4 linked regions of the Lonchura striata genome follow. The protein of the gene in region 3 purifies or fractionates together with the protein of the main gene of each other region. This does not show direct contact. Links are inferred from orthologs where the notes say so. Each region holds a gene or a part of one and is shown on either strand. Other genes may lie near its edges.

Region 1 (7,378 bases), on a different chromosome or scaffold from region 3:
TGCATGACCCTCAAAAAGAAAGAAGGGCACAGCCTAGTGTCCTAAGTATGAAAGCTGCACTGACTTCAGGTATAACCCAACATTATCTATTTACTTGTTTGGCTCCTTGCTGACACATCAAGAAAAATGGAAAACATCAGAACTGCAAGATCAAAAAATCTAAAAGACATCACGAAGAATGGGGTTTTTCTTACTGAACTCTGGATGCCTAGAAGCAAGATGTCTACATCTGAGCTAGTCCTTGAATTCCTTTGTGGGTTGTGGAAAGTGTGAGTAGGAATATTCTTCTTTAAGAGGGTAAAGTTACTATGGTTAAACTCAAAATGAAAACTTTATCTTTAAAATTGATTTGTCATCTTTTACTCTTTCTTGTGAAGAAGACTAACTGCACCAAGCTTCCACAAGACTGTCAATCTCAAATATTATTAAATCAACAAAGTTATTATCTTTCTCTGTCCCAGTTCTCTTACCTAATGGCCAGAGATTGATATTCTGGCCTCTAACATTCATTTTATTTCCCTTCCAGAAACACCAAATTTTTTCTGCAGCCAAACCCCAAAGCACTGTTTTAAAGAGAGAGATGAAATTTGCTTACATTTTAAAATTAAAGCCACATGGGAACTCCCAGAGAGCAGATGGCAAGAGCAGCCTACAGTCCTCAGGCAGCATAGACAGGGGTATCTGAGAGCTACATATTTCTACTGAATGGCCTCTGAATGGCAGCCAGTGAGTCCCTGAGATGGTGTCTCACAACAGGAGCCAGTAAGGCCACCGCTCTGCAGGGCTCCTCAACAGTAAAATCCTGAGGAAGGGGAAGCTGTTTTCACCCTTTAATAACCACAGGTTTGAATTAGGCACCTAGAACCCAATGCTTCTTTACTCAGTTTGAGGCAAATTTCATCCTATATTCCCCTAAATCATGCAAAACCACCTGGGAAACCCTTTTATAAAAGCTGAAGATTCATCCAGTCTGGTTCTGAAGAGAAAGCTCTTCAAAGCCAATTTGAACAGACTTCATTGTTGCAGAAGTGGACACTGAGGGTGAAGAGTTTGGCTATCAGTGGTTTATATCTACTTGTGTTGGTAAAAAAACTGACCTTTAGGTTAGGTTTTCATGGCATAAAGCCCCACATCTAAATATATATATATTCAAATCACTGGAAGCAATGCAACTGTATTAATTATCACTGGGCTAATCAGCCAAGAAGACAGACATTTCATACCTACACCTGCTCCTTCCTCTCTCTGCACACTGTTGGGAAACATGCACAGATCCAAAATACAGGAATTGATGTACTTTAAGCCAAAAATATGTTAACTTTATTAATCTTTATGAACTAAACTCAAGCAGAAAAGAAATGTCTTAGTTGTCTGATCATTTTTTCTTGTCCTATATTTGTTCTTTTGAAGCTCTCACCAAAGAACTTTCCACAATTTGTGACAGATGCTATTTTCATATTTCCACTATAATTCCTCTCAGGTTTCTGAGATTTCAGGAGCAGGTAGTGAAGTTGCTGAAGCATTTCACAAATGAAGCCCTAATACTAGAAGATCATTCACAGTTAGAGTCTCGGCTTTTAACCCATCTTTTTTCTATAGGTTTACCAGCACTGGCCATATGGCTGGAAAACTGCCTGACTCTTTGATCCTTTTGCCCCAGTAGCAGCAGAGGTATGCCAGGCATTTCAGGAATTGTTTTCTCTTTCATCCTGGCTCCAGCCCTTTGAAAAGTATCCTTCATGCTACATGGACTGTGGTGTTCAATCCCTTGGACCTGTTAAACATTTGTTACCTCCTGCATTTACATGGTATTTCTCAGCTCCCCTCAGCTGCAGCAGATTGTTACCCCTCCAGCTCCCTTCTCCTTGCTCCCTGAGGTCTCACTTTCAGTACTACAGAACTAAGTATTTTCCATACCCCTGAAAAGTTGGTAACATCAACCCATAAATTTCAACAAAACCTGAGGCGCTACTAGATCACAAATAATTTTTTAAGTACTCCTTCACAGTCTATGCATACAACTTCAGCAGAAATCCACTAAACAAATACGTTTAACCTCCTTAAGAGAAAACATGTTCCTTTTAGCAGCTTATTCAGGAAAATAAACTCCTTTACAAGTTATTTTTGTTTGAGAGAAAATATATTCATCCCAACAGAGCTTTTCCTCTAACAGGTCACTTTCCAGTTACATACACTTTTTTGAAGCAGTGGAAGTCATGCCTTTGAAAGGGTTCCTGCTTCATCCCAGATTCATTTAAAGGAGTTTCACATGTCAAATGTAAGATGCATTTCCCTGCTTTTGATTTCTCTTTCATGCATTTACCCTTTCTACTCTCGATATTGTCTATTCACATTTTTTCAATAAAAGTCAATATAAAAATAAAGCTAAAAAAGATAAATAAGAGAGATTCATTGCATTCCTGTGTAGTTTGCTGGCTGCACAATAAACTCACTGAATGAATTTCAGGCTCCAATGGCTCTCTTTTAAGCTCAAACATCTCAAAAATTTTACATTTCCCTTGAAAAAATTTCTCTTACCACCATTCTACCTAAGCAGCATGTCAGTGGTACCAAGACTAAAAGAATCTCCTCGAAGTGCATGTCCACTCACTCCAGTCTATCTTAATTAATGATATGTGCATTATGTTGGTAAATTATTCTTTTCTTATTTGACAGTACTTTTTCCTGAAGTTTACTAAAAAGTGTTGTAACATGTAAGCACTCAATTTTTATCAAGCACACCTTATTCAAACCCGCCCTCTCCTACTCAAGCATTGCATTAACACCAAATCCGCTAGGTCTTGTCTATGCTGGAATGTCACCATGGATTAGTTCTCTCGCTTTATTTGCAGTGACTTACCTATACCAAATTGAAATGCATCCGTGCAACTCTGCTGTGTCAGTCTAAGATACTTTCCTTGTTAATCATTGCATCCACAACTTTTGCTTGTTTGAATCAGCTGCTCAGCATTATAAGCATTTATCTTGTGGTGCAATGTTGAATCACTCAAGTCTGTAATTTTCAGCATGCTGTGGCACATTTACAAGAAACTACAGGAATCCTGGGACTGAGGTCAAGCAAGCAGATTCCTAGGAGCCTTATATCCCCCCAGCAGTGCTTCCCCGCTTTTTTCCAGCAGCCCAGAAAGTGCAACAGAAAAGCTCCATGATTTGGAGAGTTGTTGGCACAAGCTGGATGGCAGATGCAAAATTTTCATCCTTAGATTTGGCCCCTTGGTTTCCATGGATCAGAGTCTTCCACATGGTATCATCACATGCAGCACCTTGCAGGGCATGAGGATTTATCCCAGTCCTCATTTTTTTTGTTGCTCCCAAAGCTGCGGGCTGTGCAAATCCCACCTGAGCTGACTGGCAATGCAGTGGGGCCAAGAAGCAAAGCTGCCTGTGCAGTGTGGGAACCCAGCAGTGATGTGAGGCGTGAGACTGCAGATGGACTGGCGGTAATGGGGAAGGGGGGCTCATGCCCTGGGAGTTTCCCCTAGAACACAAGAACATGTTCCCGTATCCCAGGAAGGACAAAGACTTGTGGGAGTGAGACCAGAGGAGGCCACCATGTCGGTCAGAGGGATGGAGCACCTCTCCTAAGGCTAAGAGAATTGTGATTGTTCAGGCTAGAAAAGGATTCAGGGTGGCCTAATTGGGGCCCTCCAGTAACTGAAGAGAATCTACAGGAAAGATGAGCCAAGACTATTTACAAGGGTACACAGTGACAGGAAAAGGCGGAACGGATTGAAAAATTGAAAGAGAGTAGGTTTATATTAGAGATTGAGCGGTGAGGCACTGGAACAGGTTGCCCAGAGTTGCGGATGCCGCATTCCCGGGAGCGTTCAAGGCCAGCCCGGATGGAGCTCTGACCAACCCGGTCTGGTGGAAGGTGTCCCTGCTCATGGCGCGGGGGATGCACCAAGATGGTCTTTAAGGGCCCTTCTATCCCGAGCCATTCTATGATCCTGTAATTCTATTCTGTAATTCTACGATTCTGTGATTCAGGACAGTTAACAGAATTAAAACAGCCGTTTATCTTTATTCAACATGATGAAACCTGAGCACAGCAAAGGTTTACCAGGGGAAAGAAGACCATCCTTGCTACCGCGTCGCCCTCCTGCACAGGCACTGTGCCTGCGCTCCCCATGGCGCCGTGCTTCCCCCAGGAATGCCGTGCGCAGGCTGAGACCTGCCCGGGCTCCCGGGCCGCGAGGGGCCGCGGGGGGCCGCGAGGGGCCGCGAGGGGCCGCGAGGGGCCGCGAGGGGCCGCGGCTCCCGCCCGCCTGCAGGGCAGCGCCGGCACAGCGCGCGGCGCTCGCTGCGCCGGGCGGCGGCTTGGCCTCGCCGGCTGCCGTAGCGCGGCCGGGGCCGGGGCCGCCCGCGGAGTTCCGTGCCGCCCGGCCGGGCCGCGCCGCTCGGGCCCGCATGGCGCAGCACGGCCCCAGCGTCACGCTGTCCCTCACGCTGCCCATCACCTGCCACATCTGCCTGGGCAAGGTAACGCCGCTGCCCGGCCCCGCGGGCCGGGGCTGGCTGCGGGGGGCAGGGAGGTCGGGCCGGCGGCGGCAGCTCTGGGGCGCTCTGACCCTTGTGGCCGGGGTTGTGTCTTTTAAGGCTGCGCGGCTCCGTGCGGGGAAGGGAATTGGGGTGTGCGCCGTTCCCGGCGGGGGCCGGGGCTTGCCGGCAGCCTCGGGAGGTTGGGAAGCGCGCGTTGTCCCGGCGGGATCGTGCCGGGAGGTGTAGGATGGGCCTGGAGGGCCCCAGGTATGCCGTGTGCAGCTCCCGAGGGGCAGGTGCTGGCGTCTGGGGGCTTTCTCCCGTTACCAGTAGGGTGCTCCATTGTAAACGCTCGGGGAGCCTGTGTTTGAGTGTAGTGCTGTGTCGTGGAGGACAAGTGAAACAAAGAGGGGGCGTATAAGCAAGCAGATTTCTAAACTGTTCAGCAAAACTGCAGCAGTCTGGACAAAAAGTTCCCGTTTCCTCTCCGACCTTTTCTCAGTCCCTTTTTCTTTTCCCTCGGGAAGAAGAGGGCTCTTACTAGTCTGTTCTTCTCTAAAAGCCCCAGAGCCAATTTCATGGCTGTCACTAATTGCTTCTCAAATTCTTTGCGCATTCCTTACTAGTTTTTTTTTTTTCTCTCGTTTTCTTTTCTTAAAGCACAACATAATTACAAGTGAAGAAGTAGCCTTTTGTGTTTGTACTCTGGCACGTATTGTCTGGTTTGTTTCTACCTCACCTGGCCTTCGCTCCCAGACCTTCTCTGTTGGAGTGATAATAAAAGAGCGGGAGCATTTGGTGTGTGAAGTAGGCGTGTAGCATTAGTAGTGAAAGTGATCAGAAAGTGGTCCCTTAAGTCTCAAAATTCTGACAGCGTGTTACTTTAAGCAACCACGTTTACTCATTTCTTGGGTTTTTTTTTTTTTTGTTTTTGTTTTTGTTTGTTTGTTTGTTTGTTTGTTTGTGGAAGCTGAGCAAGATTTCCTGGCTGTTGTCATGTTAGTTTTCTTTTTTCTGTTTATCTGTCTAATGAAAATGGAGTAGAACCCAAGTGTACTCTGTATGTAATGCAGCATGGATACCTTCCACTCTGCAAAAAGTGGAGTGAAAAGAGGAGAGTGAAATTAAACTGACAAAGATATTTGCTATTTGTTCCTAGTTAATTTCTGATCTAAGCACTTAACAGTTTGGTTAGGTGTTCATTCATATCTTGCTGTAAAGCCACTGAGTTATTCCAAGCCACTATTTCATACTTTCACTTCCTTTTTAGATGTTCCTGAGTTTGTACTGGAAGAGGCTTCCACCCTCTTCCTTGCTCTCTTGCACTGAGACAATACATTAACATATATAAATGAATTGTGAATCTATTGGTGATTAATGTAATAAAGATATTTAAATGCTCTCACTTTTAGATGTGTAAATCTGTTTAAATTTTGACAAAGCTGACAACTCTGACTGCCCTTTCTTTTTAACAGACATCTTTGTCTCTAGTTTGGAACTTCATTGAAAAAGTTCACCAGAAAAACCCATTTTCTCAGGATTATTAAGGTTGGAGAAAGGAATTTGTTTAGCCTGTGTTAAGGAAAAAATCTTGTCAGTTTTTATTACCTTTTAGGGGAGAGCAGGGAGTATCATGGAGGGTTGACATAATACTGATACTTCTGTGGTTTATGGCATAGACTTCAAATCAAGTAGAAGGCCTACCCTAAACTCAGAGTGTTTCTCTTTCTATCCCTGCAAAATTTGCAAAGGTTTGACTGCAAGATACAAACTATTCTCTGTGCATTATGGTAAGAGGATAAAAAAGGAAATGTTGAAGAAAAATTCTTTTAATGAGTTGGCCACTCATTGTTCTTGATGGAGCTGAAGTCTTGGGTAGCAGGGACACGTTAGTCCATTTTGTTAACATGAACAATGTCAGAAAGTATATTGGCAAGATGTGCAAATAACCATTTAAAGTAATAGTGAATTGCTTGTATCAATTTCATGTTTGTTACCTGAATATTCTTTTGGTACAGTCTGGGCCATCTTCTAACACAGCTGCATTTTTTAATTAGGTAGCAGATCAGAAGCCATCTGCTTCAGACTGTTTTTCTTGTCCCAGAATGTTTGGAGGTCTCTCTTGTTGGTTTTGGTGTCGACAGGTTGCTTGGGCTCAAGACGCTGTTCTGTGTTGGTTGAAACAGTGTAGGATATCTGGGATTGGTTCACTGACTGGGTGTGTCTGATTTTTCATGTGCCTGCTCCTCCGTTAGTGCTGCCTGAAGGCCCAGAAGTGCCTTCAAAGTGAAGTCAATGTGTACAGGATTGGATGTTGATCTGCATAGGGATGGCATTATGTTGGAGGTGAAAAATTAGGAAATAGCTCAAAATTACCAAGCTGATTAAGCCTTCTGAAATAAACGGTTGTCTTTCTGGATATTATGGTCAATGAATGCACTGGAACTGTGCTGTAATTCAAGTAAAATGCTTTTTTAGTAGTAGGTATGTCCTGATCTCCTACCCCCTAGGCTTGTCACAGTTGGTGGGAGGGGCAGTGGCAGCACCAGCCATTGTGTGACATTTCAATAGTGGCTCTTGCTGTTCTGGTGTGCCTTGCTTTGTGTGGATCCTGAGTGAACTGAAGTATAAAACCCCAGCCCTGAAATGAAACTTGTAAAGGTGTGTAAATCAGAAGCACTGTACCCTGGAGAGTAATACATGTGACTTATTATTTTGCTAAAGATATAGAGTAATCATTCATGTGTGATTCTGTGTCAGGTTTGGGGTAACTGAGGGTCTCTTGCTCCCCAGGGGGAAAACCTGCACTCATGAAACGTCTTTTCCTGTTTGGATTATTTTATGTTGCTCTGCTCTGTATCTTATCATCACCATC
Region 2 (7,947 bases), on a different chromosome or scaffold from region 3:
TTTTTTTGCCTGCTTGGTTTTTTTTTTTGGGTTTGGGCTTTTTTTTTTTTTTTTTGCAGGGGAAGGGGGAAGTAGAAGATCTAGGTGCAAAATTATCTATTTTCATTATGACATTTAGGGACTGATGGTAATTTTGACCATAAAACTAATAAGCAAAAACTGAGATTAAGAAGTACATTTAAGAACCCCCCGCTACCTTACTGAAGATTTTTGTCCTAGTGAAGATGGGAATTGATTTTGCTGTTGACTTCTCTTAAATAGTTCTATCTTGTGAAATTTATTAGGGATACTGAAAGCATGCTTGTAAGCCTCCTCAGAATGTGACCTGCTCCTCACACCTGTAAATGAGATCATACATTTATCTTTTTATAAGTGCATTTTTTGCCATACAAGTTTCATTGTCTTAGAGCCTGAATGTATCTGTTCCTTCCTTTGAAGGCTCTTAGATAGCATTTTATTTACTGGTAATTCTGACTAAATGAGTTACATGAAACTCAAAATTCCCTTTTTGATAGTATTATGGTTATTGCTTATGTTTTTCTGAATTTGTTCTTTTGGTATTCTTAGTATTTTGCTTTTCATTTCTTTTAGTTGAGAAAGTAGCTAATGAAAGCCAGAAGACACCCAGGGATGTTGTCATGATGGAGAACTTCCATCATATTTTTGCAACACTTTCTCGCTTGAAAATTTCTTGTCTGGAGGCTGAGAAAAAAGAAGCCAAACAGAAATACACTGATCATCTTCAGTCTTATGTAATCTACTCACTTGGACAGCCTCTTGAGAAATTAAATGTGAGTATATTTGAGTATTCATTTAAATGGTAAAGGATAGTGGAAATAATACATTCAAAAACTGTTTGATGTCTTTATCACTGTATCTATCGTAATCCCTTATTATTTTGGATTGGAATATGTCTGGCAAGAGTATTCATGAGGATAACAGTTTTGGATGAAAATAACCAAATTTTTCATGGCAATTAATAGTACTGACTAAACATCAGTGTCTTAAGCAAAAGGTTTTGAGGAAGAAGAAAGTGAGGGGAAAAGTCATCAGGATTTTGGGGATAATCTTTCTCACCTCAACTGCAGAGAAAATTGCTGTAGTTTCTGAGCTGTTCAACAAGAAGAACAGTTATAGGAAAATTCTGTGTATCTGAAGTTGAACTAAATGTTAAACTGAGTGGTGACTTAGGTTCAGATTCAGTTCTGTCCACATGAACGTCTCATGGCTTTTTCTATAAACAGGATTTCAGGCATCCATTTTCAGAGGCATTTAAGATGTATTCCTGTTTTGAAAATTAAAATGCTTTATTGCTGTTTCCACTTTTGGATTGACTCTGACCAACATCTAAGATGTCACATAGCTAAACTGCTGCTCAGTCCCCCCTCTCCAGGGGGGACAACAGGAAGAGCAAAAGTGAAAAAACTTGGAGGTGGAGGTTAAGACAGTTTAATCAGAGAAGGGGAGAGAGAAAGATAGAGGGAAAAAAAATAAAGTAAGTGGTACAAAACCAGTCATTGACTACCTCTCACAAGCAGACTGATGCCCAGGCAGTTTCTGAGCAAAGCCACTTTGAAGCCAAACACCAAACCTGCCTCCTCCAACCCTAATTTTTATAGCTGAGCATGATGTTATGTGCTATGATTTGGTCAGGTTTGACCTGTTCAGCAGTAACCAAAACATTGCTGTGTTAACAGCCCAGTTTTAGCCACAAATCCAAAACACAGCACCATAGAGGCTGCTGTGAAGAAAGTTAACTAGGGAGTTACTTCTGTCCTACCCAGACCTGATGCACTGTTGAGCTCAACCTACATGTTCATAGAAATACTTCCCTCTATTACTAAAACATTTTTATTTACTATGTTGAGAAAACTGGCTAATGACAGTGAGAAGGGAGGGCAATTGTGAACAAATATGCTCTTGTGTAATTATGGTTTAAAAGATGCTCAGGTGCTTAGGGAGATCATCCAATAGATCCAGTATTTGGATCCCTGGTTATGAGCTCATGAATTGAGGATTTTGAGGCTGACTGGTTATTAGTTAAAAGGTTGCAAAGAAAAGCTCAATTGCTTCTAGAAAGGATTGGTTTCAATTTTATTCTAGTGCTTGGACTGCTGTCTTGTTGAACTGTGTTTTAATGTTTATGGCTGAGCAGTACTTCATGCCCAATTAAGAAACAAAAATTGGGAGAACACAACAGTCATTAAGCCAGATCAAGATTTAACCACAGATATTCTTGTCAAATGCTCAGATTTGTGATAGTGACTAATGCTATTACTTGTTAGCATTTTTTTGAAGGTGTTGAAGCTCGTGTGGCACAAGGTATACGGGAAGAGGAAGTAAGCTATCAGCTGGCTTTTAATAAACAAGAGCTTCGTAAAGTTATAAAGGAATATCCTGGTAAAGAAGTGAAGAAGGGATTGGATAATCTCTACAAGAAGGTAGATAAACATCTCTGTGAAGAAGAAAACTTACTTCAGGTAAACTAAATCGTGTCTTAAAAACCCTATAATGTTACACAGAGGCTTTTTATTACTGCTTTTGCATATGTATTCTGTGAGAATGTTCAGCATAACTCTAAAAACATAAATTTTGAGTACAGCTTTTGGGTTTTTTTAATAAGCATACTCTGTTTCTATTTGTTTAATACTGATTTGGACGAGAGCAGTAGAAAAAAGTCCAGAAAGAAACTACTTTATGATTCCCTAGCTGACCATTAATGGGTGATGTCTGTTCTGCAAAATACATTGGAAGTAGAGAATAGATTTAAATTAATGGATAACCTGATGTGAATCTTAATTGGTGCACTATAGCAGAATATTTTCAGTTATCTATTTTCTGATAGTTGTATTATCTAATGTTTTCCTTACACTGTGTGAACTTTTTCACTGGAGTAAATAACAAGTAGACTTGAGTTAAGCTTGTTTAAACAGCTTTTTAAAGTCTGAAATGTGAATTATAGCACTCTTCTGGTTCGGGGTGCTTTCCTGAAAGGCAAAAGCAATACCTCTGTTAGGAGAACTTCCCCATCTTCTATTTTCTTCTTTGCACATTTATTATGTCATGTCAACATTACAGATCTTAATGGATAAAAACCATCAATCTTCTTTTTAATACAGTAACTCAATCTATTGAACTTTATTAGTAATCTTTAGCTGTAAAATGACACCTGAAATGTGAGAATCAATTAATGAACCAATGTTTTCTAGTTAGCCTATGTATTATGCCAGTTGACTTTTCCTAAAGTTTGCTTTCTTTGGCAGGTTGTGTGGCATTCCATGCAAGATGAATTCATACGACAGTACAAGCACTTTGAAGGACTGATAGCTCGCTGCTACCCTGGATCAGGAATTACTATGGAATTCACTATACAGGATATTTTAGACTACTGCTCCAGTATTGCACAGTCTCATTAAGTTCTAGGAAGGGAAAGAAGCTAGCAAAGTGTGTGCCTGTATATAAGGGAATCAAACACTATAAATGTTAATGGGTTTTTAAAAGGTGTTTTTCCATGTGTGTGTAGTTAACTGCCATGTTTGAGTAACACTCCTGCTTCAAATGCCTTTCAGGGCAAAATAAAAACTTTGGGGATTTATTGTGCTTCTATTGGGCTGAAGTAATGTTTGAAAGCATTATTCTGTGAAACACTTTGGATACAGTTTTTCCCTTACCCTAATATTCAAATATTTTTATTTATAATTCCTTCTCTTGCCAAAAGCAGTAAGCACTACCTTCATAGTATGCCAAAAGAATACTGTTTTCACTAATATTTTTCATCTTAGAAATTATGTAAGTATTGAAGACTATCAGATGTTTTCCCTTCCTTGTTGTAGGAAGTATGGATGTAGAACTTTATGCAGTGGGAAGATTGAATTCATGTTCTAAGATATGTGACTACAGCTATAATTCTTAATTAAACTATGTTCATCATATTCTTTATTTCTGTGGAGAGTTATTTCAAAAAGTTGAAAATACCTGAAGGAATTAATTCCTTTGTTTTGTTGATGGTTATTGAAGAGTTGGTGCCTTTCTGCATTCATGTTGTTTTTCTTCCTTTTAGTAAATATGATGTAGTATCACTGTACTCTAACCTCATGTAAATCCTTCCTCTTCCTGGAGCTTCAGTTGCCAGGGATTCAGGACCTAGGTTTTCTGTACAGCTTGGTGAAATTGCCAAGTTGTTGGATAGAAGTGGGGTGTATACAGGGTAGAAACACATAAAATAAACATGCAGAGGTAGAATGTTTTTTCAGATGCAGATGCAATAATAATAAAAAAAAAAAAAAAAAAACAACAGTATGAATGTCAGTTTTTTTGTAACAAACCTGCTAGATGCAACCTGGATTTCACAGATTCATAGAATTGTGTTGGAAGGGATCTTAAAGATCCTCTAGTTCCAACAGCCTTCCAAGGGCAGGGACACCTCCCAGTACACTAGGCTGCTCAAAGCCCCATTCAGCCTGCCCTTGAACACTTCCAGGAGCGGGGATTCTACAACTTCTCTGGGCAACCTGTTCAGCGTCTCACTGCCCTTACAGGAACCAGCTTTCTCCTCCTAACCTACCTAAATCTACTTCTGTTTCACTCTGAATCCTTTGCCCCTTCTCCTGTCGCTGCATGCCCATGGAGAACATCCTCCGTCTTTCCCGCAGGCTCTCGGGGCCGGGCTGTGGGCACGGGCGAAGCCGCTAGTCCCGGGTCTCCCGGGTCTCTCCGCTTGTCCCGGAACTCCCGGCTCGCGGGGCGCTGCAGGAAGCGTCCCGCCCGGCGCGCGAGGGCTGCCGGGCCGGGAGGGGAGGGGAGGGGAGGGGAGGGGAGGGGAGGGGAGGGGAGGGGAGGGGAGGGAAGGGAAGGGAAGGGAAGGGAAGGGAAGGGAAGGGGAGGGGAGGGGAGGGGAGGGGAGGGGAGGGAAGGGAAGGGAAGGGAAGGGAAGGGAAGGGAAGGGAAGGGAAGGGAAGGGAAGGGAAGGGAAGGGAAGGGAAGGGAAGGGAAGGGAAGGGAAGGGGAGGGGAGGGAAGGGAAGGGAAGGGAAGGGAAGGGAGCGGAAGGGGCGGCCGGGCCGCGCGGGCGCGTCCCCCCGTTGCTGCGGGGACGGGCCGGAAGCGGCCGCTGCTCCGCGCGCCATTTTCAAAGGATTTCAGGCGCTGGGACGTCGCGGGCCTGCCAGCGGGCCCGCTTGCCGACGCCTGAGTTTAGTGGTGAGTGTGGGGAAAAAGTGGCGTGAACCTGCTTGGAAAGTGACCGACCGCCCCTCTTGTAGGTACAGACTGGGATTGCTGGAAGGTCTGCAAAGCTTGCAGTTTAGGGAGGCGGGTGATGAGCAGGCTGATAATCGAAAGGGTTTTGTTGTGCCGAAGTGGGAACGTACAGGGCATGGTGTCAGGCTGCCAGGGAGGACGTGGAGTCTTCCTCTCTGCAGACATTCTAAACCCACCTGGACGCGTTCCTGCCACCTGCTCCAGGTGACCCTGCCTTGGCTGGATGATCTCCAGAGCTGCCTTCCTAACCATTCTGGCATTCCATTACACTTTAGCGAAAAAAACCTGTTTCTTCGGGAAAAGCGTTGTCTTTCCATTGGCTAAGTGCCGAGACTCCACGGCAAGCGTGTTGTATGAATACCTTAGTCAGAAATGAGCTCCCGGCAAATCCACTTGGAAGCAGCCTTTCCTGAAGCAAGTGCTGGCTCTCTGGGTGTGTCTTCAACACGATGTTGCAGCGACTGCGTGTCACGGCACAGCCCTAAAGCACCGCGGTAGTCAAATATCAGGTCCGCTGAGTGCCTTTGGTACCTGGGCGAACAGGACAGGGAAAAAAAGGGAAAAAAACCTTTAACATGTAAGTTCTGGTGAATGAAAAATGCACTTTGGTATTTCCCAAAACTGAGACTGAAACTGCAGTTCACTATTGTCTTTGGTGTTAATGTTACAGGCTCAATTAAAAAACTTGTTTCATAGCATATACATTTGTCCAGAGTAATTTCTTTGTGTTCAGCTGTTATCGATGTAGTTTTGTTGTCCACATGGCTTGATGACTGCATTATTTCTTCCATGGCCAAGATCCACCTTTGCTCTGCTTTTTTATTATTACATTTTCTGATTGATAACACAAATATTCCATCTGCAACAGTTCTGAACCTGTACTCAGCATAAATTTTGCTGTGTTATTCTCCGAATAAAAGGAGGACTTCAATCTGCTAATCTAATACCTATAAATATTGCTTATTTCACACAATTTTGTGCCAGTTGATTCTCTAGTTAAAGCCTAGAGCAGCAGGATATAAGGTTTCACTTTTGCCCATCTTTCACATCAAGGATCAGTTGGTGACTTAAAATACTAGGGAACACTTCTTAGGTGCTACATATATCTATTACATAAACGTATCTTTAAAAGACTGCTCACAGCCATCCAAGCATGTCATAAAATGAGGCATGTGAATGTTGTTACCTTCAGCAGTTTTCATCAGCAAAGGGGGAACAAAAATGAGGCTAATTGGCTCTGAATACTTTTCAGCAAGCAACTGAGAGGTGTAATCATTTAAACATATTAGTAAACCCTATTTAGCAAATGACTGATTTCAAGTGATAGAGGTGTAATCATTTAGATGTATTAGTAAGTCCTGTTGAGGAATTGTCTGAGTTAAAGTACTGTTCAATTTTCTCTTTTCTATTTTTCATCAAAAATGGAAATTTGATTCTCTTCACAGCAGTCCTAAATTGAAAGAAATATTTAGATGATAAATTATGTGAACTATTTATGCAGCTAATGTAGCCTGTCTCATGGGAAATACCAAAGCTGTTAAGAGTGCTTTCCAGTACTTTGCAAACTTACAGACATCTAGTAGGTATGACATACCTTTCATCAAGATTCGGTTGTGATTCACAAGGCTATTAAGCTTCTTTAAAGAAAAGCAAATTCTGGATTGAATTGACTTGGGTGCAAACAATGTAGAAAACTTGGATTTACAAAAAGGCTTTTTGAGAAGGTTCTTTACCAAATGTTTTTAAGAAGGCAGGTGTCTGTCAGAAATGGAGAAAAGAAGCTGGAGATTAAAAGAGAGAGTAGAAAGTACAACCTTACACAGTGAATGTGCAGAAGATTGTCTGCTGTTTAAGACTGATCTGAAACAATGGGTTAAACAGCAAGGGAAAAATTTGCTCATTTTATAAACATGTTAAGTGTGATCTCAAGGATTGTGAAGAGTTTCACTGGACTGAATAATAAAGTGGGAATTAAAGAATAGCATTAATAAAGGCAAAGTGATACATGCTGTGTTCTCTAGAATGGCACTAACTGCTCAGAAAAAGATGTGGCACTGTGAATGCATCTCATCTATGCTTTAGGGCAAACAAAGACCAAATGCCCTGGTTTCAGGTAGGATAAAGTTCGTTTCCTTCCTAGCAGCCAGTGCAGTGTTGTGTTTTGGATTCAGCATGAGAATAATGTTGATAACACTCTGGTGTTTTGGTTGTTGCTAAGTAGTGCTTGCTCTCAGCTGAGGACTTCTCGGAGCCAGTGAGGAGCTGCACGGAAAGCCATGAGGGAACATAGCCAGGACAGATGATCTGAGCTGGTATTCCACTACTTAAAAATAAACCAGGGAGTACCCAGAGCAGGGCTGGTTGTGCTTCGAGGACATGCTGGGCATCAGTCAGCAAGTGGTGAGTAATTGCATTGTGCATCTCTTGGTTTTATCACTCTTTCTTGCTTAGTAGTAGTATTATATTTTGTTTTAAATATTAAACTGTTCCAATGGCAATCTAAAAAAAGTTTTGCCTTTTATTCCCCTGATTCTCCCCTCCACCCCTGTGGGAGTGGGGAGAGTAAGCAAGTCAGCTGTGTGGTGCTTGCTTGCAAGCTGGGGTTAAGCCATGACAAACACTGATCAGTAATGTGAGAGAGTGGGTTAAACAGCAGGGGACAAAATTTGCTCATTATGTGGACATGTTA
Region 3 (7,769 bases):
AAAGGGTTCCCCAGAATCAGTCTGGTGCTGATCTAATTCCCTCTGAAAGGAGGTGCCATGTGGAGCCCTGTTTCAGGGAATGCTGGAGGAGTCCACATTTGGGAATCTGGAAAAGCACCGTGATGGTGAAGTTCTGCAGAAGGAAAAGTCACCCTGTGGGAAGCAGTGGGAGCTTTGTGCAACATCAAAATCAGAGGTAAATTGGGAAGAGCCTTAGAGCCTAATTCTGTATTTCTCTGGAAGTGCTCCTGGTGGCTTGGATACAATCCCTGTGCCCAAGGCTGAGCAAATGGCACCTGGAGCTGGGTTCAGGAGCAGCCACAGCCCAGCTCAGCTCCCTGCTATCACTCCCCACTCCAGAGGAAGACCTGGGGGTTTCATCCTGACTTCCTCCAGCAAGAGTTCTCCAGCCAGACTCCCCCAGGAGGATTATTACTGTTATAAACTTATTATAAACTTCTTATTAAAGTGGGGATCTCCTCTCCCAGGGAAAGGGTTCAGCAAGGAATCCTCCATCCCTTTCGCCTCAATGGAGCAGAGAGGCAAGTGGGGGATGCTTGGCACGGCTGGCACGGCTCAGAGGGGACCTGCACTGGATTTCTTGCAGCTTTCTAAGGGAAAAAAAAACCCAAAACGTGCAAACCAGGGGGTCGGTGCTGGGATCCAGGGCTGCCGGTGGGATTTGCTGGCGTTCACTGGGAGAGCTGCGCTCCGGCGTTCCCTGGATTGCTGCTTCCCTCTGTTGCTAGTCAGGGCATTGCAGGGAGGCTGCAGACGGGAAAAGAGCCCGGCAGCGGGGCAAAAACCTGCCAAGAGAGGATCCCCCCATCTCTGCTCCCCGCGGGACCCGGCTCAGCCCGCGGCGGGGCTGCCACCCCCGGGCACGGCACCGGCTCCGGTCCCCGCTGCCCCGGGAAGCTTCCCTGGGAACGGCCGCCGGAATCCTCCCCAAAGATTAGTATGGAAAAGCTCCACGTACTCAGTTTTCCGCGGTGCTGCGGAAATCCCAGCCCCAAAGACAGAGGGAGAAGGAAAAGCACGGACCGAGGTCCCTACAGCCAGCCCAAAAAGGGAGAACAGCTCCTGGAGAAGCAGAGCAGAGGAACCTCAGTCTATCCAACCGTGCCAATACTCACGTGTTGTGACCACAGAGGTCACACCATAAATAAAATATAAATTCGAATCAATATTAGGATGATTAATAAGGTCTAATAAATTATTAGAATGATTATAAACTCAACATTTTTTATCACAGTGAAGGGCACCATGGGCTTTCAGCCTTGCTGGGAACTGGCTGAGTTTGCCCACTGAGTTTCTGCACTCTCTGGAAGGAGCAACTTTGAGTTCATGATCAACTTTAGGGCTCGAGTTTAGCACCAGAAACGCTCAGTATTTGTTATCAATTGGTAATTCACTGCTGTTCCACCACCCCAACAGCCCAGAAGGAAACATGACAGTGTTTTGCAGCCACCTGAATGGGAGATAAATGCAGAAACTTGATGTAACAGGGCTATGACTAATTCCTAAGGACTCTCTGGCAGAGCAGGACTTCTGAGAGCCATTCCACCTCTCACATGGAGCTGCTCCATGACTTGGGAACTGGCCCTGGACTTTCTCTCCTCCTCACAACAAGACCCATCAGGCTCATCCAGACTACAGCAAACAGCTTGAAAAGAATGCTGCCAGCCCAATGCTGCCCTGTGCTATCACTCATTTGTCCCGGACTGTTAAATTCACACCTGCAAAATGAGGTTTGTAAAAGCAATGGAGGGAGAGAGAGAGAGCTTTCCTGCAGCACGCTTCGAATCTCAGGACCCCTCTGTGAGGTCCAGAAGCTTATCAATAATTTTTTTCTGAAGGGGAGGCAGGTTGGAGAGAAATCCTCTCTGACAGCAGCTCGTGATAGGGCAGGAGGCTGAGGCCGCTGCTCCCCTCCCTGCCCGCACAGGGACCTGGAGCACCCAGCCAGCCCCTGCATCTCACCAGCATCCATCTCCTGCTGCTTCTGCCATCCCTGGCTCCTCCAAAAGCGCTCTCACTCCAGAGTTAAGCCACTTGGGAGCAAACTTTCCAAGGCACTTCAATATTGTGTCACAAGCCCACGAAGGGAAGCGGCCACAAATCATCCTCCAGCCGCATTATGGAGAAACTCACCCGCACCCAGAGCAAAGGCTTTCCTCTTGGAGGTTTTTTTCCCCTCTCCTACCTGAGTTTTGAGTTCCCCCGGAGGTTTCCAGCGGGCAGGAGTGGCCTGGGATTGAGGATCTACGTTATTTACTGCTCTACACTGGAGTAGCGTCCCGGTCGCCAAGGCAATGACATTGGAGCTGCTGAAAGCTGTGTGAACAGCGAGGCAAAGCTCCTGCGCTCCTTCCTGGGATAGGAGGCTGTGCAAGGGGGTGGGGAGTGCTCAGCCAAGCGTGCCAGGGAATTAAAGCTGGTCACCAGCGCCAAAGTGACGCTGGGCAAGTTGGCTGTGGGGGCTGTGACAGTGGTGGCCACCTGGCAGCAGCGCTGGGCTTTAATCGGGCACAGAATCAGGGCATGGTTTGGGTTGGAGGGACAATTAAAGATCACCTCATTGCATCCCTGCCATGGGCAGGGACACTTTTCACTATCCCAGACTGCTCCAAACCCCGTCCAACCTGGCCTTGGGCATTTCCAGGGATGGGACGTCCAGCAAAGATGGATGTCAGCATATCAAGGAGGTTTTTCCCCTCATTGGATAGGCAGACTGAGCAGGTTTTGTGTTTGTATTCAGCCAAGGGACCAGATCATCTCTCCCACAGGGATGGGGAAGGGCTCTGGGGTTCCCTGCACTGCTTCTCCCGGGCAGCAGCGACTCAGGGAGGAGCACTGGGTGAAGAATGAACATTTCTGATTAAAAACCATCACCCATGAGGTTAATTATGGATCACAGACACCCTGTCACACTGACACCCCCCTCACAAACTCCCGTGTCACTTGCTGGTCGCTTGCCTGGGATCACCCAGGTGGGCAGCAGGCTCTGCTCATCCTTGGGCACCACTGCTGGTGCTCAGCTCCCCTGTCCCCAGCCGGGGACACAAAGCCACCCCCCTGCCCACAGGCACCCCCACGTTACGGGGAGGTGGTGGTGACAGCACAGCAGCTGTCACACCTGTCCCTCTGCTGTGGGGGCAGAAAACTGATGCATTCACCCCCCAAAAAACACACGGCTGCGGCTGGAAGCAGCTTCTGGAACCCAAATAATCCCGAATGAAATCACGACTCCAATCCTCAGAACCTCTGATCATGAGGTTTATTCTTGATGGTGACTGTGCCCTCCAAACAGGGTGGGGGGTGCCACCCGGCCGAGCTGTCACTGGGACATCTGGGGACTTCAGGTAATGCTGGGATGACTCTTTGCAGATTTTAAAGCAATCAAGTATGAAAGAAAAAAAAAAAAAGTGTATTTTTTGACTCCAGTCAACAAACAAACTCAGTCTCTGTCTGAGTTTGTCCAACTGAATACCAGTCTTGCAGAGATTTGCAACAGATTTTTGTGTTGGTAGCAGTAGAGTTCTTGTGTGTGAGTGAAGCCCTTCCTCACACCTATGTGAGGAAGTCAGATTTTTGGGCCAAAAATCCCAGGGATACACACCGTGGGGACAAAGGGAGGCAGTTGTGCATCCCCTGGCTGTTCATAAAATGTGTATTTGATGATTGGCTCTTCGCAAATATTAAATGGAATACTGTATCTATTATGGACGGTTAGTTTGTAATACTGTATGAATCCTTTTAAAATAGTGTGTTAAATGTAGTTTTAGGTTATCACATAATGTTAAAATAGAAACTATGTGATGAAAGATATTTTTACTAGCTCAAGGAATGGGATAAGATAATCAAGAAACTCTTCGCATAGAGATAGCAACAACACGAAACCTGAAGAGTTACAACCTCCTTATCAGAAAAACCAAATATTCTTCCACCTTCTCTCTGTCTTTATGGAACCACCAGGATTAAGGGGAGGAAGTTGACAAAAAACAGAAAAATTCTTAATTTGCAAGGAATTTATGCACCATGTATGAGATACATGAACATGCAACAGGCTGTTGCTTTTAAGGATTATCCCTTTGTTCAAGGCATGTTTTTGGCAGCTCAGAGCCCGAAAACATCTGGAAGTCCAAAATTCTTTGCTTTTTATTGTCTTGGAGTGTCCTAATCCTCATTGTCCAAGTTTTTATTACTCTAATTTTATTACTATTTTTAATGACTATTTTATTACTAATAAACTTTGAAGATTTTAAAAAACAAGTGATTGGTGTTTTTCACATCTACATTGATTGATTGATTGATTGATTGATTGATTGATTCCAGTCACTTCACATCCTTTTTGCTGGCGTATCTCTATTCCAATTATTAGTTTCTCTGTCCTGTTTGGGGAATCTGGCGCGACATCCCACCTGTTCTCCCATTTTTGTCGGTAATTAGCCGGCAACAGTGATTAGCCCGAAGGGCTGATTAATTAGCCAGAAGGGCCGGTTAATTAGTCAAGGCTATTCCAGGCGCGGGACGGTGCGCGGGGAAAGGCGCCAGATAAGGGGGGTTTCCCTGAGGATAAGGAGAGGAGGGAGAACTCACCCCGCAGCTCATTAACCGCGTCATTACCCGGCTCATTAGCAGCTCATTTGCATACCAATGCCGCCTTCCCGCGCGCTTCCCGCCGCCGGGCGCCCCCTGCCGGGCCGGCGCGGGACCACAACTCCCGGCGTGCCCCGCGGCGGCCCCGCCCGTTCCGGCGGGCCCGGCGGAGCGGCGCGGGGCGGCCGCAGCGCGGCGGGTTCGAATCCCGGCGGCGCCGCGCCCGCCATGAACTTCTCGGAGCCCTTCAAGCTCTCGGGGCTCTTGGGCCGCTTCTCCCCCGACGGGAAATGCCTGGTGAGTGCCGGCCGCGGGCAGCGGCGCCGTGCGGCCCGGCACGGGGCCCCCGCGCGGCCGGGCCGGGCTGAGGGCGAGGATGGAGCCCCGGGGAATGCCGGCCTGAGGCTGCTGCTGAGGGGCAGTACCGAGACCTGAGTCAGCTTAAATTAATCGTAATCTGTTAGGCGAATTGTTTAAAACTAAGTATGACTTTAAATTAAGTAGTACCTGAAGGGAGCCTCCGGGGAAGATGGAGGGGGACTTTCCACAACGGTTTGGAGAGGCGGGACGGGGGAGAGCAGCTTCAAACTGCCTGAGGGCAGGGCTGGACGGGGGAGAGCAGCTTCAAACTGCCTGAGGGCAGGGCTGGACGGGGGAGAGCAGCTTCATCTGCCTGAGGGCAGGGCTGGACGGGGGAGAGCAGCTTCAAACTGCCTGAGGGCAGGGCTGGATGGGGGAGAGCAGCTTCAAACTGCCTGAGGGCAGGGCTGGACGGGGGAGAGCAGCTTCAGACTGCCTGAGGGCAGGGCTGGACGGGGGAGAGCAGCTTCATCTGCCTGAGGGCAGGGCTGGACGGGGGAGAGCAGCTTCATCTGCCTGAGGGCAGGGCTGGACGGGGGAGAGCAGCTTCAAACTGCCTGAGGGCAGGGCTGGATGGGGGAGAGCAGCTTCAAACTGCCTGAGGGCAAGGCTGGACGGGGGAGAGCAGCTTCAGACTGCCTGAGGGCAGGGCTGGACGGGGGAGAGCAGCTTCATCTGCCTGAGGGCAGGGCTGGATGGGGGAGAGCAACTTCAAACTGCCTGAGGGCAGGGCTGGACGGGGGAGAGCAACTTCAAACTGCCTGAGGGCAGGGCTGGACGGGGGAGAGCAGCTTCATCTGCCTGAGGGCAGGGCTGGATGGGGGAGAGCAGCTTCAGACTGCCTGAGGGCAGGGCTGGACGGGGGAGAGCAACTTCAAACTGCCTGAGGGCAGGGCTGGACGGGGGAGAGCAGCTTCATCTGCCTGAGGGCAGGGCTGGACGGGGGAGAGCAGCTTCATCTGCCTGAGGGCAGGGCTGGACGGGGGAGAGCAGCTTCATCTGCCTGAGGGCAGGGCTGGACGGGGGAGAGCAGCTTCATCTGCCTGAGGGCAGGGCTGGATGGGCTCTTGGGGGGGAATTCCCTGCCTGGGTGGGCAGCCCTGGCACTGGGGGCCCCGAGCAGCTGTGGCTGCCCCTGGATCCCTGGCAGTGCCCAAGGACACGGCTTGGAGCAGCCTGGCGTGGTGGAAGGTGTCCCTGCCCAGGGCAGGGTGGAGCTGAATGAACTTTAAGGTCCCTCCTAATCCAGACTATTAAGGGATTCTATTAAATAAGGGGTTCTGTGAAATAAAAAAAGTTATAAGACAGAAAATATTTTTTTAAAAACTGGCGTTGCGTACCCAGCAGTGATGGAATTGAGGATTCTACTTACTGCTGTAAAACCCCCTTTCCCCTGGGTTAGTTCTCACTGCAGTTCACAGTGGAGCTCAGCACATATAGAACAGAATTACAGAATCCTAGACCAGTTTGGAGTGCAAGGATTTTAAATCTCATCTGGTTCAAAGCCCCTGCCACACTCAGGGGCACCTTCCACTATCCCAGGTTGCTCCAAGCCCTGTCCAACCTGACCGTGTACAATTCCAGGGATGGGGCAGCCACAGCATCTCTGGGCAATCTGTACCAGTGGCTCACCACCCACAGGGAGGATTTTTTTTTTAAATTGAAACAGAGCATTGACCCTCTCTGAGCTAAGCCTGGCATCACAGCGAGCCTGGCAGGGACAGCCCTGGTGCTCCATCCAGGATCCTGCCCCAGCTCAGCCCTGTCCCCGTCCCCCCCAGGCCTCGTGTGTGCAGCACCGTTTGTTGGTTCGGGATGCCAGCTCACTGCAGATCCTCCACCTCTACACCTGTGTGGATCAGATCCAGTACCTGGAGTGGTCCTCAGACTCTCTGTTCATCCTGTGTGCCATGTACAAGCGGGGCGTTGTCCAGGTGAGGATGGAAGCAGGGCAGGACTTTCCCAGTTTGGGTGTGATGCGAGTGAGAGCTTAACAGCACTAGTCTGAGGCTTTGCTGAGGCACCTTGATAACACACTTTGAGGATAACCCAGCATGCCAGGATTTTGAAAGCCACGACAAACATCTTAGTTTGAAAAAGAATATTTAGGATAAAAATATCTAGCAAAACAGAGATTTCTTACTGCAGTAGGAAATAAACAACATGCAAGCTTGTTAAATGGACCAAACCCATTTAGATGTTGGATATTCAGCATATTTGTCACAGAGAAAAAGCCAACCCCACATCCTTTGCCATTTCTATGACCACCCAGAGGTATGGGACTCACTTTTGCAGCGGGATCCAGCGCCAGTCCTTCATGGCTGCGGGTGCTTGGGTGTTGCTGAGCTGCCTGAGCCGGGATGCAGGAGCCTGTTGGCAGCTGCAGGGAGCCCTTCCGAGCAGAGGTGTGGGTGAGCTGATGCTTTCTGCTCTGTCTGCTTGCTCCCTGCCCCAGGTCTGGTCCCTGGAGCAGCCGGACTGGCACTGTAAGATCGACGAGGGCTCCGCGGGATTGGTGGCTTCATGCTGGAGTCCGGACGGGCGTCACATCCTCAACACCACCGAGTTCCATGTGAGTGTGGGGGCAGGCTGGCTCCCCTCGGTGTCAGATGGTGCTGTCTGCCCTTTGCCTCCCAAAATAACCCAAAGCCCTTAAAGCTGCAGCAGTGGTGGAGAGCACGGATGCAGCTCTGTACTCCTGTGTGTAACTCGGGTTAATTCCAGTTTGTTGTGTTTGTTGTTCCTCTAACATTTTGTCCTCTTGCTTCTAGTGAAACACTAAAAAATGGACACTTAAATTTGAAGGT
Region 4 (7,890 bases), on a different chromosome or scaffold from region 3:
TTAGCTTTTGGGTATGAAGTCTTCGTTCATTCTGAATACATCATACTCAAAAATCCCAACTATACTTCTCCCTTCCATTTTACTTAGAAAAGCAAACAGGAAAACAAATTAAAATTACCAAGGGTTTTAAGAAAATAAATATTTACTCTTCTCAACACATATAATTACACAATAATATACTCTTACATCTGATAAAATTCAGAATTCAATGACTGTTCTATCATGATCTTTGCCTCAAACACTCAGGGTACAAGGAATACAATCTGATGTACTACCTCAAGATTCAACTCTACATGCCATACACACACAGAAATTCTGTTACTTCAATCACTGAAAAAATTGAAACAGATGGAAACATTTTATCTGGCTCCCAAATTCCTACCCCATTTTGAACTAACAAGATGGGTTTCACATTAGCGTTTTCCTATCACTAAACAATAACTCTATTGTTAATCTCCAAAACTGAATTTCTCCTTTTGCATTCACAAACCACTGACTATATGTAGCCAGAGCAGAACATTCTGTTAGCAAATCTCCCTGTGTCACAGACAAGAGAACCTCAGAAACCATCTTCTGCATGTCCTCCTCTCCTTCCTGATGTCAGCTTTATCCAAATTTTACAGCTGTCTCTGCAAGCAGACAACTTTTTAAAAGAAAAGCAAACCACTATCTTATTTGTTCCTGAAGTTGGCGAGATATCTACTGGGCAGAGCCAGAACTAGTATTCCAGGTACCAGAAATTGGGAAACTTACATGTTTCCGCAGCATGTAACCTGAAATTTAAATCAGGCATGGAATGCAAGAAGACAACTACATTATTTCTCTAGCGATTACATGGCAATTCAAAGAATAATTCTGTAAATTCCAGGTTTCTGTTAATCAAATGTCACAGAAAGACCTGACAACTCCAAACAAATGGGACTGGTGAAATGTCAGCATACCTTCTGTGGAAGGAAGGAACACTAAGTTCTGCCACAGTGCTCTGGAAGAAGGAATCATCCAACACACTTGGGCAAGACAGCATAACTGGATTTTCAAAAAGCTTTTGACAATCTTCCCTCCAAAAGCTCTTAAATCAAGATGCTAAGGAATTTATTAGTGACCGATTATAAAAGGAAAAGGGCAAAGTGTAGGAACAAGCTATAGGTGGGTGAACAAAGTGTATGAAAGTCACGGAGAAAAATTAGAGCCCAAAAGGGGTCTGTGCAGGCATCTCTCTGTAACATATGATATACTCATCTACTATACAGAGTTATTCACAGAAATAAACACAGGTTGAATGACAAACTGCAGAAGGTTGTCCTCATACCAAACAAATGGATAATAAAAATCAGCAGCTGACATTCCTTGTCCATAAACACAAACTAACACAATGAAAAGGCCAACTCTGCTATGCACTTAAACCAACAGACTCTAGTTAGGCATTATCATGCAGGCAGAGATTCCAGTCCCTATGATTAGTCCTCTGGAAATAACAGCTCCCAGGCAGCCAACAGAACCCTGGAGCAGAGGACAGAAGAGACCACCATAATGACTCCCGATGAACACTAAGCTTCTGCACCTGAAATATCTCACAGTGATACAACCTTCCTTGGAAAAAAAGACAGAATGTACCTAAATATGTTGCAAGAAAGGTCAAGCAATGATTTCACACAAGAAACTAATAAGCTGTGACTTATCAGCTAGAAGAGGAAACAGCTGGAGAAACAACAGCAACATAGAGAAAACAAATATTCTTTGCTTCTTTTAACACAGCACTTGTACAGAACGCAAAGAAACATTCAGTGCAAAAGCTGGGAAATAAGGGCATTTTTTCCACATAAAATACAAACTGTGGACTTGCTTCACCATCAGTTGCTGTGAATAATCAATACATAAACTGTCTCAAATTTTTTGAAAAACATTCATCAACATCTATTACATTTTAAAACACAGATGCAGCCTCTGATTAGAAATCCTTCCATTTCAGACTGCAGCATCTTAGAAGGATACACAGATAAAAGCACTGCTGTACAACCAAACTATACTTAACATCTTTTCCTTAGCATCTGCTGCCAGCTTCAGAACTGAGATATTGAGCCCCATGAGCCTGGTGTTACCTTCTCCTGTGATCTTTCTGGTCTAAATTATAACTGATATTAGAATCAAAGCTTTCCCCATCCCCCCCCCCCCAAAAAAAAAACAAACCTAGAAACAACATCTTTCCCCATAAACACCTATAATCTGAAACTCCCCTTCATTGTATCAAATAATTTCTCTAGGTCTCCTTTCTGAGTTCACTATTAAAATTTACCTAATACTTCCACATTATATTTCGAATACTTCGTATTTCAAGTCATTGCCCTAAAATTCCTATCATACCTTGGCAGCCTACGGAGCTCTGCTGAACTACTTCACTCACCACCGCAAGCAGCAGCACATTCTACATAATCCGGGGATGGAGAAACACTACAAACTAGTCTCGCATTACGATTTGATCTTCAGATTTAAAGTAGCTTTGCTGCAAATAAATACAAATTTAAATAACGTTTTTTAAAAACGCCCCAAGTCCCTTACGAAGCCTGCACTCTTCCATCACGTGAGCCGCCAGCTCAGCCCGAGCAGCCCCCAGTTCCCTGACTCAGGGGAAAGCTTCCCGGCTCTCACCTCCGAGCATCTGCCGCTTGGAGCTTCACAGACGGCGAACGCCGGGCCTCCAGCGCCGGGGAGCGCCGGCACGCCCAGCCCCGCCGCGATCGCCCTGTCCCCGCGGATCAGCCGGAGCCTGAGGGAAGGCAGCACATGTCAGCACCCACAGCCCGCCCCGGCCGCCGGCTCCTGTGCCCGCACGGACCCTCCCCCGGCCCGGGGGAGCCCAGCGGAGCGGAGCCGGTACCTCCGCCCCGGCCGCCGCCCCAGCGCCCCGCCGTTACCCGCCGCGGGGCGGGGGAGCCGCGCACCCCCACCTGCTGGGCCGCAGCGAGGAGCGGCAGCGAGGCGGCTCCCGAGCGAGCCCCGCGGCCCGGCCGGGCCCCGCGGGGTTAAACCGCGGCCCGCCCCGCCCCGCCGCGCCGCCATTGGCCGGGCGGTTGCCGGGAGACCGGAACGGCACCTGCCGCGCGGCTCCGCCACCTGCCCGCGGCGCGGGCCCGGCCCGTGGGCCCCGCTCTCTGCCTCTGTCCAAGGGCAGGCTCTCTCTCTTCCCTTCAGGCACGGGAAGGCGCGATGAGGTTCGCCCTGAGCCATCTGCAGGCTCAGCAGTGCCAGCTCGCAGCCTGAGGTGCAGAGCTGCTCCAGCTCCGGGCATCTCCGTGCCCTCCCAGCACAGCGCCGTGCGTGTGCTGAGGACACGGAGCGGGTGCGGGGCTCCGGGCGGGCTCTCACGGGAGCGCAGAGGGAGAATCCCCTCCCTCGACTTGTTGGCCATGGCTCTTTGGATACAGCCCACGACAGGGTTGGCTTTCTGGATTGACTCATGTCCAGCTTTTCGACCGCAAGAACCCCCAAGTCCTTCCACAGCTGCTCTCAATGTTCTTCTCCCAGTCACAAGTCACAAAAATGCCGCCCTGTGGAAGACCTGACAGCCTTCTCTGTGGCTGGGAGTGATGCTGAAAAAGCACCAAGACACCCAGCCTGGCACATATTTTATTCCCCAGAGAATATAAATTAAACTTACAATGTCTCACCATTAAATATGTGACGTCTTGCCTTTCAAAATTGGAAGTTTTCATCCTAATGTATTTCCAGGTTAAGAAACAACAATTTTCAATATTGTCAATCTTAGCCTGTTGTGGTATTTTTTTTAATTAGGATGAGGTCACCAGAATAGGTCCAATATTCTCTTTACATTTAGCTTTGAGGAGAGTGCTTTGTTGGAGGATTCAGTGCAAGTAATCACTTTGCATTAAACAAAGTGATCTCAAGGAAAGGAGATTCATCAGATAATTCAGGACCATAAAATGGAAATTTTGAGGCATGGGGTGTTCACAAACAACCACCAAAGACACTCAAAAGACCTCATATTCAAATAAGTTAATGGAAACAATTAGCATCTACATATGTATTCAGGAAATGTAATGAATATGTAGTAGAAATGTGATGAATATGCATTAGTTCCATGGATATAACCTGGCCTGTTAGGTTGCTCTTCATGAATGCTTTGAGGATAAAACCCCATGCATCAAGCACTGCTAATAAACTAATGCCAGCTTTCTAACCTAGTAAATTTATTGGGACATTTTACTTCCTGGCTTTTGTTGACAGGAAGAGATTGATGATTATTCTTGCTATTTTTACTTCAAAAGCTAAGGTGTTATAGACCAGATCAAGAAACAGAAAAAAAAAAAAAATTACTGACAGAAAAGAGCTTTAGAATGCAGTAGACAGAATGACTTGTGACTGGAAAGACACCACCACAGAAAAATAGCAGTGATTGGGATATAAAATATTTATTTTTAATAGATTGTAGTTATATACTCTTTCTTAAATTCAGTTGTCCACCCAAGTTGGCAAACTTTGCTTATTTTCTGTGTATTTTCAGTATAAGAAAGTGGTAACATAGGACACAAATAGTACGTTAGCATTTTCAGTGTTAGGGTTATCATGTAGACAGAACAATGCTCTGTGTTCCATCCAAGGGATGGAACTGCAAAAGAAAATGGGCTTTATAGGTTTTCCTGCCACAAACACAGCTGTGATAAACCTCCCTACATCTCTCCCACTGTGCTTGCCCTGCTTCCATAATCTCTTTCATTCAGCATTTCTGGTTTTCAAAGGTCAGCTTAAGAATGGAAAAATGCTGACTGAGGTAAAAGTCAGCCTTTCAAAAGTCAAGAAAATTTAACTTCCAGGGGCAAAGTATACTCCTGCCATACATATTGGAAATAAAGCCATTTCTCTCAGTTACGAGCAGACCATAACTACCTCTCCAGGCAGGTGAAAAAGAATATGGGGCAAGTAAGCAAACTGTTTCTTGTTGTGTCAGAAGGAGGTTCTATCAGCTTGCAGAAATACTGATTATTGTTTTGGCTCTTGGTACCTTTGCAAAAACACTTAATTTTTTTTTTTTAGAAACTGATTTTTTTTTTTATGTTATTTGGGTTGTAGGAAATCATTCCTTGCACTGCAGAAGAAAACTTCCATTTTATCACTCAGGTTTATGCAAAGACTTTGGATCTTTATAGTGCAGCTTTGCCACAGGTGCACTCCAAGGAGGAAGCAGACTTACACAAAATATGTTAGTGGTAATGGCAAGTGGGACAACAGACCTTGCTCACAGGAAGGATTAAGCTCCTGGAGCTTTAAAACATAATACAGGCATGGGTGGTGCTGAATTCCCTTTGTCCATTTGATCTTAGCAGCTGTTCCTGAAGTTGATGCTATTCAAAGGAGAACTCCCCAAGCACTCTGCTGTGCATCATGGATCAGGTTTGGGTTATGTTTTTTTAAAAGGCTGGCCAGGAAAGGAAAAGTCTTTGTGGGATGCATTCAGGAAAAAGAATCAGAAAATTCTACCTTATGAAAAACTGTAGTCCAACACAATCCTTCACTGATAATGCATCAGTTTGGTATAACATAGTCTTCGTAAATTGGAGTGAGAAGTAAAACCCAGCTTTCTAAAGTGATTCTCAAGAAGGTGACATAAGGAGGATTTTGGTACAGAGAAAGGGTGGTATCTTTGGAAGCTTGGGGTATTCAGGGATACAGTCAACTAGTCAACTATTTAGTGTATTCTCTTGAATAATATCATAAATATCCTGTAGCAGATGTCAGGTCTTTGACAATAACCCAAATTGTAAGAGTAACTCCTCAAACAGTTTTTTCCTTCTTTATTTGGGTTTGCTTGAGTCTAATCAACTGAATTATCTGGAGTCTCCTTTTATTTTGTTTTATAATTCAGTTTAAAAGTAACCAAACAACTTGTGTTATTTCATAGCTGTTCCACTCTGTCATGCAGACTGTTAGCCTAAAAATTGATTGTAGTTCAATTTCTTTTACAAACATATTTTACAGAATAAATTATTGGAGAAATCTTGAAGATGTATTTATAATTTATTCTTTGTAATTATTTGCTAAAAATTTGGATTAAGAATTATAATGGGGAAAAAATTAAAGAACCAGAAGAAACTGCTTTATGAAGTGAAATATACAAAATAACTCAAATATCTCAAAACTTAAATTCAAGATGGATTAAACCGTAGCATGAACAGTAAGACAACAGGCTCCTATAATTCAGAAAGTGAGGGGCTGATCCACAGGTTGTTTGCATTTCAATTCAAACTCATCTTCTTAAGTACATTCAGAAACCCTGTTTGCTGGAGTGGTTTCTATAGCAGTGTCCTGCTTGATTACAAATCAGCAGGGCTGACGGAGCCTGGTCGAGCAGAAGCTCATTAAAATGTCTGATCTGGTTATGCAATAGGCTGGTGGCAGCCTGTGACTCCTTTATTGTCCCCTGGTGTAAGAACTGTGACTCGACAAAGCCCAGCTCACAGGGCTTTTGTGTCTCTTTGTGGAGATGTGTAAAAATAACCTCAAAGCCAGTCTGTGGGTTGTGCTCTGCACTAGTAAGAGCTTTAAGGTCTGCTCTCAGTTCCAGCTCACACATTAGGAGCTCCAGTCATGCAGTGATCTTAATGGATGTCTCTGGAGCCCATCGGTGGCTCCAAAGATGCAGAGACCTACAGCAGGTTACAGGACTTTCCATTCTTAAGCCCACCTGTGTGATCCATTCCCTCCTCTCCACCAGTGTCCCACTACATGAGAGTCACTTGGCTCAGTATTTAAAAGACATTCAATTTCTGGCTGAAAGTTTCTTCTGCTCCTGCACTTGGACAGTGAAATTTCAGACTAATCCCTGTTAGGTTAAATAAAGCAGAGAGAAAGATGGCTTTCCCCAGGAGTTTGGCCAGGGACACCAACAATCACAAAAATATCCACAGATGAGACGGTGTTCTTACCTGTCAGAGTAACAGGTCTTTGTGCCAAGCCAAAGCCATGGAAAGCAAACTAAGCTTCAGGAATCCAAGTGGGTGCAAAACAAAAAGGATGCTGACTCCACAGAAAAGAAACCACAGCCAAAACCTTTGAATAAAACTGCCTCAGGGTGAGTGACAAGATGCCAACTAAAACAAGGATTGCCACTATTTCACTGCTCCCCCCCAAAATTGTCTACATAGTTAGGCTTTTGCACAGGCCCTGGTTTTTATTGCACTCTCATCTGAGTCATACAGCTCATTAATTCCATTTATTTTATGTTTTTGTTGGGCGAGAGTTCCAGCAGCTTAGCAGGTGAATTGGCTCACAGGGTGTTCCAAATATGCTAGAACAAGTGCAAGACAATCTAGGACAGAAGAAAGAGAAAAGGAAGAACAGGGAGAGGAATGGGATTCCACAGTTTTAGTGTCAATGAGGTATTAGATACTAAGCCCTTTCAGAGACCCACAACCACATGTTTCTTTCTGCAACCTTATTTCTGATTAAAGACGGGAGCAGATATTTCCCTCATTTAACTATCTCCACACATAATAAGAGTACCATAGGCAGTTTTTTCTTCCATTTTGGAAGGCAGGCACCAAGTAAGCTTTCACTGAATTTACCCCAAAGACCTTTGGAGGAAGATAAAACATCAACAGGCTACAATGCCTGCAGCAACTCAGGTTCCCTTCTGAAATTGTTCAGACAGTAGTTCAAGGGACCTCTTCCATGAAGTAAGGAGCAGCACAGACAATGCCATTTAGTTGAACTCTTTTGAAGAGTTTCGGTGATGCAGATATTTCATGACAAATTTTGATGTTAGTAGCTATAGCAACTCATGCCATGAAACAGCTGTTCTCCTTCCCATCTTATCCTGTACTACACATACATCATCTTTGGAGAATATGTGCAATATTTTGCATGTCTGCTTCAATC

The links.
Region 1: the proteins of WRAP73 (region 3) and OBI1 purify together in Homo sapiens (affinity purification with mass spectrometry; 3 studies listed by BioGRID and IntAct, counting the BioPlex papers as one, with this or other methods). This does not show direct contact. The link is inferred for Lonchura striata from reciprocal best matches to the Homo sapiens genes WRAP73 and OBI1.
Region 2: the proteins of WRAP73 (region 3) and CEP135 purify together in Homo sapiens (co-immunoprecipitation; 6 studies listed by BioGRID and IntAct, counting the BioPlex papers as one, with this or other methods). This does not show direct contact. The link is inferred for Lonchura striata from reciprocal best matches to the Homo sapiens genes WRAP73 and CEP135.
Region 4: the proteins of WRAP73 (region 3) and SSX2IP purify together in Homo sapiens (co-immunoprecipitation; 4 studies listed by BioGRID and IntAct, counting the BioPlex papers as one, with this or other methods). This does not show direct contact. The link is inferred for Lonchura striata from reciprocal best matches to the Homo sapiens genes WRAP73 and SSX2IP.

What each region holds. Positions count from the first base shown.
Region 1 is NC_134604.1:48,207,960-48,215,337, forward strand, and holds the start of OBI1 (ORC ubiquitin ligase 1), read left to right. Parts: upstream 1-4,378; 5' UTR 4,379-4,431; coding exon 4,432-4,503; intron 4,504-7,378. UniProt on the Homo sapiens protein: E3 ubiquitin ligase essential for DNA replication origin activation during S phase.
Region 2 is NC_134606.1:27,506,500-27,514,446, forward strand, and holds the start of CEP135 (centrosomal protein of 135 kDa), read left to right. Parts: upstream 1-4,934; 5' UTR 4,935-5,198; intron 5,199-7,479; 5' UTR 7,480-7,658; intron 7,659-7,947. Other genes in the region: EXOC1 (exocyst complex component 1), read left to right, coding at 592-791, 2,286-2,480, 3,264-3,416. UniProt on the Homo sapiens protein: Centrosomal microtubule-binding protein involved in centriole biogenesis. Acts as a scaffolding protein during early centriole biogenesis.
Region 3 is NC_134626.1:3,815,363-3,823,131, reverse strand, and holds the start of WRAP73 (WD repeat-containing protein WRAP73), read left to right. Parts: upstream 1-4,757; 5' UTR 4,758-4,830; coding exon 4,831-4,899; intron 4,900-6,743; coding exon 6,744-6,896; intron 6,897-7,417; coding exon 7,418-7,534; intron 7,535-7,769.
Region 4 is NC_134611.1:18,201,814-18,209,703, forward strand, and holds the start of SSX2IP (afadin- and alpha-actinin-binding protein), read right to left. Parts: upstream 3,008-7,890; 5' UTR 2,946-3,007; intron 2,765-2,945; 5' UTR 2,647-2,764; intron 2,580-2,646; exon of another isoform or gene 2,362-2,579; intron 1-2,361. UniProt on the Homo sapiens protein: Belongs to an adhesion system, which plays a role in the organization of homotypic, interneuronal and heterotypic cell-cell adherens junctions (AJs).